3 linked regions of the Anolis sagrei genome follow. The protein of the gene in region 3 purifies or fractionates together with the protein of the main gene of each other region. This does not show direct contact. Links are inferred from orthologs where the notes say so. Each region holds a gene or a part of one and is shown on either strand. Other genes may lie near its edges. The genes, in order: NOP10, NHP2 and NAF1.

Region 1 (3,750 bases), on a different chromosome or scaffold from region 3:
TAATATGAAAAAATTAAATGCCTTCAGAATGATAGTTTTGACTGGCTGCTGGAAGCTCCACAAATATTTATTGCACTGTGTATATTGCAAAGCTCTTTGTTATAATCATTGTACTCTGTGCATCAATTTCCCTCTATTTCAGCAATAAAGTGTGATAGTAACTTTATTGTGTTTTTATTGGTGCATAACCGACAGCTGGCACAGTGGGTTAAACCGTTGAGCTGCTGAACTTGCTGATTAAAAGGACGCCGGTTTGAGCAGGGTGAGCTCCTGCTGTTAGCCCTAGCTTCTGCCTATCTAGCAGTTGAAAACATGCAAATGTGAGTAGATCAATTGGTACCTGGGTATCACAACTAGATACAGTGAAGACATCTGCCCTTGTGCTTTGCTATTCTGTTGCTGAGTATGCATGCCCAGTGTGGAACACATCTCACCATTGGATGCGGCTCTTAATGAGACATGCTCATTATCATGGGGTGTCTGCTCCTTACACCACTGGAGAAATTACACTGTGTAGCCGGTATTGCACCACCTGACATCCGTCGGGGAGTAGCAACCAATAGTGAAAGGACTAAGGCAGTGACATCTCCGGTCCACCCCCTGTTTGGGTATCAGCCAGCATGCCAATGACTTAAATAAAGAAATAGTTTTCTAAGATCTGCAGAAACACTTGCTGGAACACCTCAGCAAGCGAGAGTCCAAAAGCGGCAGGCTCAAACCCAGAGCCTCAATCAATGTCTGGTACCAAATGAGAGACTCCCCCCTGGGCACACAGAAAACTGGGCGACTTGGAAGGTGCTGATCAGACTGCGCTCTGGCACCATGAGATGCAGAGCCAACCTTAAGAAATGGGGCCACAAAGTGGACTCCACCACATGCGAGTGTGTAGAAGAGCAAACCACAGACCACCTACTGCAATGCAACCTGAGCCCTGCCACATGCACAATGGAGGACCTTCCTCCAGCAACACCAGAGGTCAGCTACTGATCAAAGGACATTTAAACAACTACCAAGCTTGCAAACTTTGTGTTTTGTTTGTTTGTTTTTAATGCAATACAACTGTTTTGGTTCATTCCTGACACGATAAATATAAATAAATAAATAGGTACCACTTCTGCGGGAAGGTAACAGCACTCCATGCAGTCATTCCGGCCACATGACCTTGGGGTGTGGTGCTCATCTCCACACCCCTATGTCTATGGACAATGCCGGCTCTTCGGCTTAGAAATTGAGATGAGCACCAACCCTCAGAGTTGGACACAACTGGATTTAATGTCAGGGGAAAACTTTTACCTTAACTGACAGCTGAACCATCTGAACTATTTATTTACAGACTTCATGCAAACTTGGAACCCAGGACGTACTACACAAGGCAAGCCATTGTGTTTTTATAGATGAACCTGGGAATTATCTGATCTTTGAAACATCGGAACTATTCAATTACGGCGCTGAATTGGTGTAAGCCTGCCATTGCTACAGACTCAATGGACTCGTTTAAACCTGTCCACTCATTGGCTTGGAGGATCCTAGAAGTAAAGTAAATCACAGAATCATAGAATCAAAGAGTTGGAAGAGACCTCATGGGCCATCCAGTCCAACCCCCTGCCAAGAAGCAGGAATATTGCATTAAAATCACCCCTGACAGATGGCCATCCAGCCTCTCTTTAAAAGCTTCCAAAAAAGGAGCCTCCAACATGCTCCGGGGCAGAGAGTTCCACTGCTGAACGGCTCTCACAGTCAGGAATGTTTAGCCATGAGAGAATTTGCCATAGAAGACAGTCCCAACAATGAGGCATTCTGATGGTTTCCCTATAGCTATGGATTTCGTTTGCCTTTAAGATTTACTCCAAGTTGTCCTTCCACATTTGTGGATTTGATAATTTACTGATTTAATTAAAATCTCTAGGTGTCCTTCCACACAGCTATATAACCCAGAATATCAAGGCAGATGATACACAATATTGGCTTTAAACGGGGTTATCAGAGTCCACGCTGCCATATAATCCAGTTCAATATGGATTTTATACAGCTGTGTTGGTGTGACTCAAGGTTAAATTATACTGGAAATTACCATATGCAAAATGGCAAATAATAAGCTTTGTTTTCTGGATATTTTGCAATATTTTCAAGCTGTGAAAGGCTGAATCCTTGGATGCAAAATTTGTGGATATGGAGGGCTGACTGTGGTATAATGATATAGAACTGGCATAGGCAAACTTGGGCCCTCCAGGTGTTTTGGACTTCAACTCCCACAATTCCTAGCAGCCTATCGGCTGCTAGGAATTGTGGGAGTTGAAGTCCAAAACACCTGGAGGGCCCAAGTTTGCCCATGCTTGGGAGTCTTAGTTTAGTGAGACAACAGCACTCTTTGGCATAGAAGTCTAACAACTCCAACTCCTAGCATTGAGCCATAGCAGTTAAAGTGGTATCAAACTGCATTAATTCCACAGTGCAGATGCACCCAGAATCAAACATTCACACACCCCCAGGGATGTAAAACCCTTACCTTGAGGGTATAAACCCTGTCCCCTCGCTCATCCAAGTAGAATTGCAGGAACATAGCTGCAAAATCCGGAGCAAACGATTCTTATCAACAGGATTCGGATTCCAAACCGATTTCCCTTTCCCTTCTCTTCCTGCAAAACACGTGCAAACAAACTCCACCTCTTCCTCCCATCCTCCAATGAACAGGCACAAAAGAAAACTTCCCTGAGCATTCTGGGAGCTGTAGTCTTTCGCCTTTCTTGCCCAATGCCTGCTGGGATTTGTAGTTTTCCTACTGTAAACATGCACTCGTGCAAAAGGAATCTGTTTCTCTACCTGTTGAAAGGATCATCTTTCTGTCTTTCATCTAGCATTCCTTTTATTCTCCCATCATCTAATCCTTTCAACAGTTTTTAAATAAGTTTTCCAATTGTTTTGGAAATAATGTAGGAGGGTTGAATGAAAAGTAATGCCTCCACCTTCGTTGCTTGGCTCCTATGAGGAGCGGCTTAAGGAGCTGGGCATGTTTAGCCTGAAGAAGAGAAGGCTGAGAGGAGATATGATAGCCATGTATAAATATGTGAGAGGAAGCCACAGGGAGGAGGGAGCAAGCTTGTTTTCTGCTGCCCTGGAGACTAGGACAAGAAACAATGGCTTCAAACTACAAGAGAGGAGATTCCATCTGAACATGAGGAAGAACTTCCTGACTGTGAGAGCCGTTCAGCAGTGGAACTCTCTGCCCCGGAGTGTGGTGGAGGCTCCTTCTTTGGAAGCTTTTAAACAGAGGCTGGATGGCCATCTGTCAGGGGTGATTTGAATGCAATATTCCTGCTTCTTGGCAGGGGTTGGACTGGATGGCCCATGAGGTCTCTTCCAACTCTTTGATTCTATCATTCTATGAAACGCATAAATAATCCTTAGAATGTGCTCTTTAACTACCACTATTCACTTTTCCACAGAATCACCAGACCATTGGATACATTTCTGCCAACGATGGACAAGTTTTCTGACACTGTCACGGAAGAAGTCGACACTCGTTTCCGCAACCAGCATCTCACACTTCTCTCATCCCGGTACCCATCATGCACAGATCTTCCGATAGCCAAGCAAAGCAATAATGTGATCCACACGGTCTAGTGAAATGGCGATTATGCTTGAAATTTCTCTCTGAGTGATACGGCGATCGTCCTGAATCAATCTCAACCTTTTGCTTGTGAAACTCGGTGGTTGCTGTCACAGGACGTCCAACTCTTTGTCACGCAAGTC
Region 2 (3,750 bases), on a different chromosome or scaffold from region 3:
TCTTAATGTCCTCCACTCCCCCCCCCCCCCAGCAATAGCAAGGGAATCCCCTCTGGGCAGCTAAACCAGGAAATTCCAATTGGATAGCCCCCCATGAAGGTCTTCCTCCAGGGGCAAACCAAAAATGAGCAACTTGGAAGTCCCTAAACAGACTCAGAAGTGGACTGTGCAGATCAAAAGACAACCTGGCAAAATGGTTGTCAGTCGCACAAGGTGGAAGAATCTGCGACTGCGGAGCAGAACAAAAGACTCTGCAGCTGTATGTGTGCCCACAATGCCCTGCTTCATGCACAGAGAAAGAACTGTTTAAAGCTAGACAATGCTGGGTTGCTGTGAGTTTTTTGGCCTATATGGCCATGTTCCAGATGCATTCTCTCCTGATGTTTCACCCACATTTATGGCAGGCATCCTCAGAGGTTGTGAGGTCTGTTGGAAACTAGGCAAGTGGAGTTTATATACTTATGGCATGTCCAGAGTGGGAGGCTGGCCATTCCAAAGCCAGACTCTCAAGCTGCAAGGAAATTAAAATGTGAATTAAGGTAGCCAATTACAACATTTACACCTGCCTCAAGCAGACAAGAGTTCCACATAAATCCCACTTGCCTAGTTTCGAACAGACCTTACAACCTCTGAGGATGCCTGCCATAGATGTGTGCAAAACGTCAGAATGCTTCTGGAACATGACCATACAGCCTGGAAAACTCACAGCAAACCAGCGATTCTAGCCATGAAAGCCTTTGACAACACAATGTGGTCGCTGTTGCCCTTTTTTGGCCAAAAATTATTTAGCTGGTTGTGTTCCCTCTATTTTATCAGTTTTATAATTTATTTATGCAATTCTTTTGACACATTTTTTTCTGTGTCAGGAGCAACTTGAGGAGCCCTCAGTGGTGCAAAGGGTTGAACCCTTGTGCCGGCAGGGCTGAAGGTTTGAATCCGAGGAGAGCGCGGATGAGCTACCCCTGTCAGCTCCAGCTCCCCATGCAGGGACATGAGAGAAGCCTCCCACAAGGATTGCGAAACATCAAAACATCAGGGCATCATCTTTGCAGACAGCCAATCCACCAGAAGGGGCTTGCAGAAGCGACACGAAATAAATAAGAAGATATGTTTTTCCCTACATGGAGGAAAGGGGGGGGGGGGGGGGGAAGCCTGGTAAATGTGTTGTCGAAGGGTTTCATGGCCGGAATCATGGGTCGCTGTAAGTTTTTCGGGCTGTATGCCCATGTCCCAGAATCATTCACTCCTGACGTTTCGCCTCTCACAACCTCTGAGGATGCCTGCCATAGAGGCAGGCGAAACGTCAGGAGAGAATGCTTCTGCAACATGGCCATACAGCCCGAAAAACTTACAGCAACCCAAGACCTGGTAATTTTATGGAAGCTGTTAAAAAAACGCAGGCACCCTGTCACCCGCCGCCCGCTCGCCTTATTTCCTTCCTCCACCCTCTCCTCAAAAGACAGACCCCCACTCACTACCCGTCCCGGCGGCCATCTTTCCGACGCACGCCCGGTGCGTGCCGGGAAAGGGGCCGCGAGCTATGCCATAGAGCGGTGGGCGGTGCTTCCTCCTCAAAGCCGCGTTCTTATTGGCCGACGCCTTGCTTTCCCTTCCCGGCACGTGTTTGGTCTGAGCCGGAAGCGCGACAGTGCGGGAGAGGCGCGTGGCTCCTTCCCGGCGGAGAAGCAGGCATGGGCCGGGCCAGCAAGCGCCAGGAGGCCGAGGAGGAGCAGGCGGCGCCGGAGACTGAGGCCACCCCGGAGCGCTCCTACCACGAGCTGGTGGAGAACGTCAACGCCATCGCGCGGCCCCTGGCCTCCCGCAAGCTCACGCGGAAGCTCTACAAGTGCATCAAGAAAGGTGCAGGAAGGAAGGGGTTGGGCCTGCATCTACTGTACTCAGGCATGGGCAAACTTGGGTCCTCAGCTTAAGCGGCTGAGGGTGAAAAGGAAAGGGCCTGAGGCTGTTAGGAATTGTAGGAGTTGAAGTCCAAAACATCTGGAGGGCCCAAGTTTGCCCATGCCTGGCCTAGGTCAAACTGCATTAACTCTGCAGTGTAGGTGCACCTTTGGGAAAAGGGGAGGTTTTAGGGGCAGCACTCCTGGAGAGAGGGGATGGGGGTCTTCAGAGGGCTCCCTTTCAAGCCTCCTTGCTGGGTTGGTGGCTTCCCACATACATATTCTCTCTCCCCTTCTACTTGCAGCATCGAAGGTAAAACAGATTCGGCGTGGAGTGAAAGAGGTCCAGAAGTTCATTAACAAAGGCGAGAAGGGGTAAGAATCTTAACATGATTTGCGATAGAAGACTCCCCAAGGACCACCCGGTGCGCTACTCACAGATGCCAGCCCCTCCTTTGCCAGAAAAGAAAGTAACACAGCCATGGGGTTGGAAGAAACCCCAAGGGCCATCTAGTCCATGCAGAAACATCCAAACAAAGCACTTGTCGGATGGCCATCCAGCCTCTGCTTAAAAAGATTCCACCCCTCTGAGGGAAAAAGACTCCGCCCCTCTGACGGAGCAAATTCCATTTCACTAAGCATAAACTATTTCTTGTCCCAGGTGTAATGTCATGTTTGCAGTTAGCTGCCTTTAATTCTCATACCAGGGGAAAGGCAGTATAAAAATGAAGTAATTAAATTAATATTGGAATGATCACAGGTGCCTCGCGCTTAATTCCTTTAGAGCATTTGTCTTTTTTAGTGCTTCTTAAGCTATCTAATATGGGGGACAACTGCCCCCCTGCTCCCCAGAAAGCCAGAGATAAGCACACTTGTGCTCATTAACTATAACTACAGTATTTCCTTCTTGGAAACAACATGCACCAGCGGCCAGTAGATTACTGACCTGCACCAGCCCACAAACCACCATTTTGGGTATCAGTAGGTATTCTGCCTATGCAGGAATCTGCGATATTGTTCCTTGAATGATTTGCTTCCCTCAGAGTTTCCTGTGTCAAGTTTGACACAGTATGGCTGACTTCAGTTCAGTCATCCGCTGCAGATCTTGGAACTAAGTCCTCTCTTTGTAGTGTTCCTGATTGTTATGAGTGAATTACAGGGTGTTTCAAAATGATGGACACAGTTTGAAAGCAGTGTATTTCACCATGGTAACATCTTATAGTTACACAAAAAGTTACAAATGGTTTAATGAGTTATCATTTTTACTATTTTGAGCCAGAAACAAACCTAAAAATTAACTCCTCAAATGGAAAATATCTCATTAGTCCTTATGTGGGTCACCATCTTGCAAATGACTGAGGCTAAAGGCTGTTTGTAATTCTTTGAAGTTCTATGCCTCATCCTTCCAAAGGGTAAGTTTCATTTATGAGTGGTTTGTGGTTGCAGAGAGATAGCCATTTCAGATCACGTCCTTCTTTTAGAAACACCTTGTATTTCTGTGTCATGTGGGAAACTAAAATGTGCCCATGTGTCAAAAATGCAAACTTTAGGAGGCCACAATGATGATGAAGCCATGATGAAGCCAGAAGTCATATAACAGCAGCATTGTTTTCATTTGGATCTGCATAATGTTAACCTCAGTGCCTCACACTGACCTATTTGCCTTTTTTATTTCTCACATTCTGTCTGTGTGAGAGTACGAGTCTCTTAAGTCGAATCCAATTTATGTGAATACTGACCACACTACAAATATTTAAAAATTAGGTAGCAGAGAATTGGTTTGTAAAGCAGCTGCAGAGAGCAGAATTTACTCAGAAATTCTGCTGAGATTGAGGAGGCTTACAACTATCAA
Region 3 (3,750 bases):
CCATCAGCTTTAGTCATGATGGCAAATGAGAAATATAGGAGTTGGAGTTCAGCATCTGAAGGGCCCATAAAATGACATAGTGGGCCAGATTCCACCAGTGGGCCTTGGGTTTGACATATGTGTTGCAAGATTAAAGATCTGGAGATCATGCCCTACAAGAAGCGTCTTAAAGAGCTAGCCATGTTTAGCTTGCAGAAGGTTGCAAGGAGACATGATAGTCAAGAATAAATATGTGAAAGGATGTCGTAAGGAAGAGGGAGCAAGCTTATTCTCTGCTGCACTGGAAACCCGGACTCTGAGAAATGTGTGCAAATTGAAGGAAAGGAGATTCCACCTGAACATTAGGAAGAAGTTCCTGACCGTACGAGGTAGTCAACAGTGGAACACTCTGCCTTAGAGTGTGGTGGAAGTTAATTCTTTGGAGCAGGCATGGGCAAACTTTGGCCCTCCAGGAATTTTTGACTCCAACTTCCAGAATTTCTAACAGACTACCGGCTCCCATACTGAGACAGCTCCACTGACTGCCGGTCCCCTTCTGGGCTAAATACAAGGTGCTGGTCCTTACCTACAAAGTCTTGAATGGTTTTGTCCAATTGCATCCCCTTATAGAGACCATACCGTGCACTGTGGTCAGCAGAGGAGGTCCTGCTCTTAGTCCCACCTGTCTCAAGCATGGCTGGTGGGAATGAGAGGGGGGACCTTCTCCATGATTGCTCCCCATCTCTGGGAAAAAAATCTCCACCCTCCTCTCCTTTAAGAAACTTTTGAAAACGCACTTTAGCATATGGAGAGGAGGAGGACTAACCATTGGAACACTGACAATCCAATTTGCACTATATGATGGCTATGCTACATTTTAATAAATACCTGTGTTAACCATTTCATATGCAACTCATGTCTGTTTTTAATTATATGTTTAATGTTCACACACCCTAAGTTATTGTCTAATTGATTTATCCCCCATCTCAATGTTTTATTTTTTCATTGTAAGTTCATTGCTATTAAAGGTAAAAGTTTCCCCTAGACATTAAGTCCAGACATGTCTGACTCTGGGGGTTGGTGCTCATCTCCATTTCTAAGCCGATGAGCAGTGTTGTTCACACACACCTCCAAGGTCATCACCATCATCATCTTTAATTACTTATTAATCGCCCTCCATCCGAGATGCTCCAGGCGATTTACATAAGGAATTATACAGGATAAAACACATACATACAAATATTAAAATTAACATGGGTCAAATGCTCTAGTAAAAAGCCAGGTCTTAAGTGCAAGGATAAAATGCCCTAAGTCATGCATGGCTCTCAAATAGGGAGGCAAGGAATTCCGTAAGGCAGAGGTAGCAATAGAAAAGGCCCTGAGTCTGGTGCTTTCCAAGTGCACTTCCCTAAAGGTAAAGGTAGTCCCCTGACCTTAAGTCCAGTCATGTCTGACTCTGGGGTGTGGTGCTCATCTCCATTTCTAAGCTGAAGAGCCAGCGTTGTCCGTAGACACTCCAAGGTCATGTGGCCAGCATGACTGCATGGAGCGCTGTTACCTTCCCGCCGGAGCGGTACCTATTGATCTACTCACATTTGCATGTTTTCGAACTGCTAGGTTGGCAGAAGCTAGGGCTCACAGCGGAAGCTCACGCCGCTCCCCGGAATCGAACCTGCGACCTTTTGATCAACAAGCTCAGCAGCTCAGTACTTTAACCCACTGAGCCACCGGGGGCTCCAGGACCCGGTAAATAGAGCAAATCGTGTTGGGATGGTCGTGGCGACCTCAGATTACGGTAGGAGAGATGGCATGACTGCATGGAGCACCATTACCTTCTTGCCAGAGTGGTACCGATTAATCTACTCACATTTTCATGTTTCCATACTGCTGGGGCTAACAGCGGAAACTCATGCCACTCCCCGGATTCAAACCTGCGAACTTTCAATCAGCAAGTTCACAGCTCAGCAGTTTAACCCACTGCACCACCCGGGGCTATTGCTACTATTCTGTATTATTCCTGATGATGTTTGTTACTTAGTAAGGTATTGAATGTTTGCCTATTTTTGTGCTGAAAACCGCCCCGAGTCCCTTTTGGGAGAGGTGCAGTTTAGAAATAAAGTTTATTATTGAGGGTTTTGAAACAGAGGATGGATGGCCATCTGCTAGGAGTGCTTGGATCGTGTATTCCTATTTGGAGTTGGCCTGGATGACCCTTGTGGTCTCTATGATTCTATGACACGAGTGATAAATCTGTTTTGAGATCTACATGAAACCAATGCTTATTTGGCAGCCGGGAAAGGGAAAGAGTCCTTTCATGGGGAAACTACCCACCTTTCGGATTCGGAAGAAGAGCTGCCACTGATTTCCATGACTGTGGCCTCCTTTCCTTCGCGATCCGACCCGCCATTCACATCCAGAGGAGGCTGAGAGGGGCTCCTAGGGTCTGGGGCCTCTCCTTCGGGGCCAGGAACCGGCTCCGCTCCATCTCCGAGGCCAACCTTTCTCTCCGTCTCCTCGCAGCGAGGGGAAGAGGGGCCCATTCCGAGCGGAGGCCCCCCCTCTTCCATTGCGGCGCCCTCCAGGGCCTCCAGACCCCCTCCATCAACGGAAGCGCCGGCACTCTCAGGAAGGCCCTGCGGGGCGGAGGGAACCTCTATGGGGCCGCATTCCGGCTGAGGAGCGGCCTTTTCCCCTTCCCCAGCGGCTCCCTCAGCGGCCACGCTCAGCTCGCTCAGCTGCTCCGCCACCTTGAAGGTACCACCAGCCTCGGAGGCCTGCTCCTTCTTCTTGTCCTCCTCCTCCGCCTCCTCCATGCTGCACGAGAGCCGCTCACCACAGCAACACGCGCGCCGTGCTGACGTCACGTCCGGCCCAAGTGCTTTTCGAATGGCACGGCGCTCGCCGGTGGGAGGCTTCCCCTTAGGGCGCATGCGCCTCTATCACATCTCCCTTTGCTTTCCTTCCTCCCCATTGAAGTATCACAGAAGACTCTCAGGGTCCATTCACACAGCTATATAAGCCAGGCTCCTTCTGCACAGCTAAATAAAACCCCACATTTTCTGCCTTGAACTGGGATATATAGCAGTGTGAACACAGATAAACCCAGTTCAAAACAGATATTGTGAGTTCTTCTGCCTGGATATTCTGGGTTATATGGCCCTGTGGAAGGAGCCCCTAGAACAGTGGTTCTCAACCTTCCTAATGGCGTGACCCCTTAATACAGTCCCCCATGTTGTGGTGACCCCCAACCATAATATTGTTTTCATTGCTACTTCATAACAGTCATTTTACTACTGTTATAAATCATAATGTAAATATCTGATATGCAGGATGCATTTTCATTCACTGGACCAAACTGGGCACAAATACCCAATACACCCAAATGTGAATGCTAGTGGGCTTGGGCGAGGATTGATTTTGTAATTTGGGAGTTGTAGTTGCTAGGATTTATAGTTCACTTACAATCAAAGAGCATTCCGAACTCCACCAGTGATGGATTTGAACCAAACTTGGCTCCCATGACCAATGGAAAACACTGGAAGGGTTTGATGGCCATTGACCTTGAGTTTGGGAGTTGTAGTTCACCTATATCCAGAGAACACTGTGGACTCATGCAATGGTGGATCTGGACCAAACTTGGCATGAATACTCAATATGCCCAAATGTGAACACTGGTGGAGTCCGGGGAAAATAGATCTTTACATTTGGGAGTTGTAGTTGCAGGGATTTATAGTTCATTACAATCAAAGAACATTCTGAACTCCACCAACC

The links.
Region 1: the proteins of NAF1 (region 3) and NOP10 purify together in Homo sapiens (co-immunoprecipitation; 6 studies listed by BioGRID and IntAct, with this or other methods). This does not show direct contact. The link is inferred for Anolis sagrei from reciprocal best matches to the Homo sapiens genes NAF1 and NOP10.
Region 2: the proteins of NAF1 (region 3) and NHP2 purify together in Homo sapiens (affinity purification with western blotting; 3 studies listed by BioGRID and IntAct, with this or other methods). This does not show direct contact. The link is inferred for Anolis sagrei from reciprocal best matches to the Homo sapiens genes NAF1 and NHP2.

The regions. Positions count from the first base shown.
Region 1 is NC_090026.1:13,101,576-13,105,325, forward strand, and holds the start of NOP10 (H/ACA ribonucleoprotein complex subunit 3), read right to left. Parts: upstream 2,666-3,750; 5' UTR 2,561-2,665; coding exon 2,507-2,560; intron 1-2,506. UniProt on the Homo sapiens protein: Required for ribosome biogenesis and telomere maintenance. Part of the H/ACA small nucleolar ribonucleoprotein (H/ACA snoRNP) complex, which catalyzes pseudouridylation of rRNA.
Region 2 is NC_090022.1:76,372,406-76,376,155, forward strand, and holds the start of NHP2 (H/ACA ribonucleoprotein complex subunit 2), read left to right. Parts: upstream 1-1,607; 5' UTR 1,608-1,691; coding exon 1,692-1,860; intron 1,861-2,203; coding exon 2,204-2,273; intron 2,274-3,750. Other genes in the region: BRD8 (bromodomain-containing protein 8), read right to left, coding at 1,476-1,494. UniProt on the Homo sapiens protein: Required for ribosome biogenesis and telomere maintenance. Part of the H/ACA small nucleolar ribonucleoprotein (H/ACA snoRNP) complex, which catalyzes pseudouridylation of rRNA.
Region 3 is NC_090025.1:55,967,579-55,971,328, forward strand, and holds the start of NAF1 (H/ACA ribonucleoprotein complex non-core subunit NAF1), read right to left. Parts: upstream 2,859-3,750; 5' UTR 2,793-2,858; coding exon 2,311-2,792; intron 1-2,310. UniProt on the Homo sapiens protein: RNA-binding protein required for the maturation of box H/ACA snoRNPs complex and ribosome biogenesis.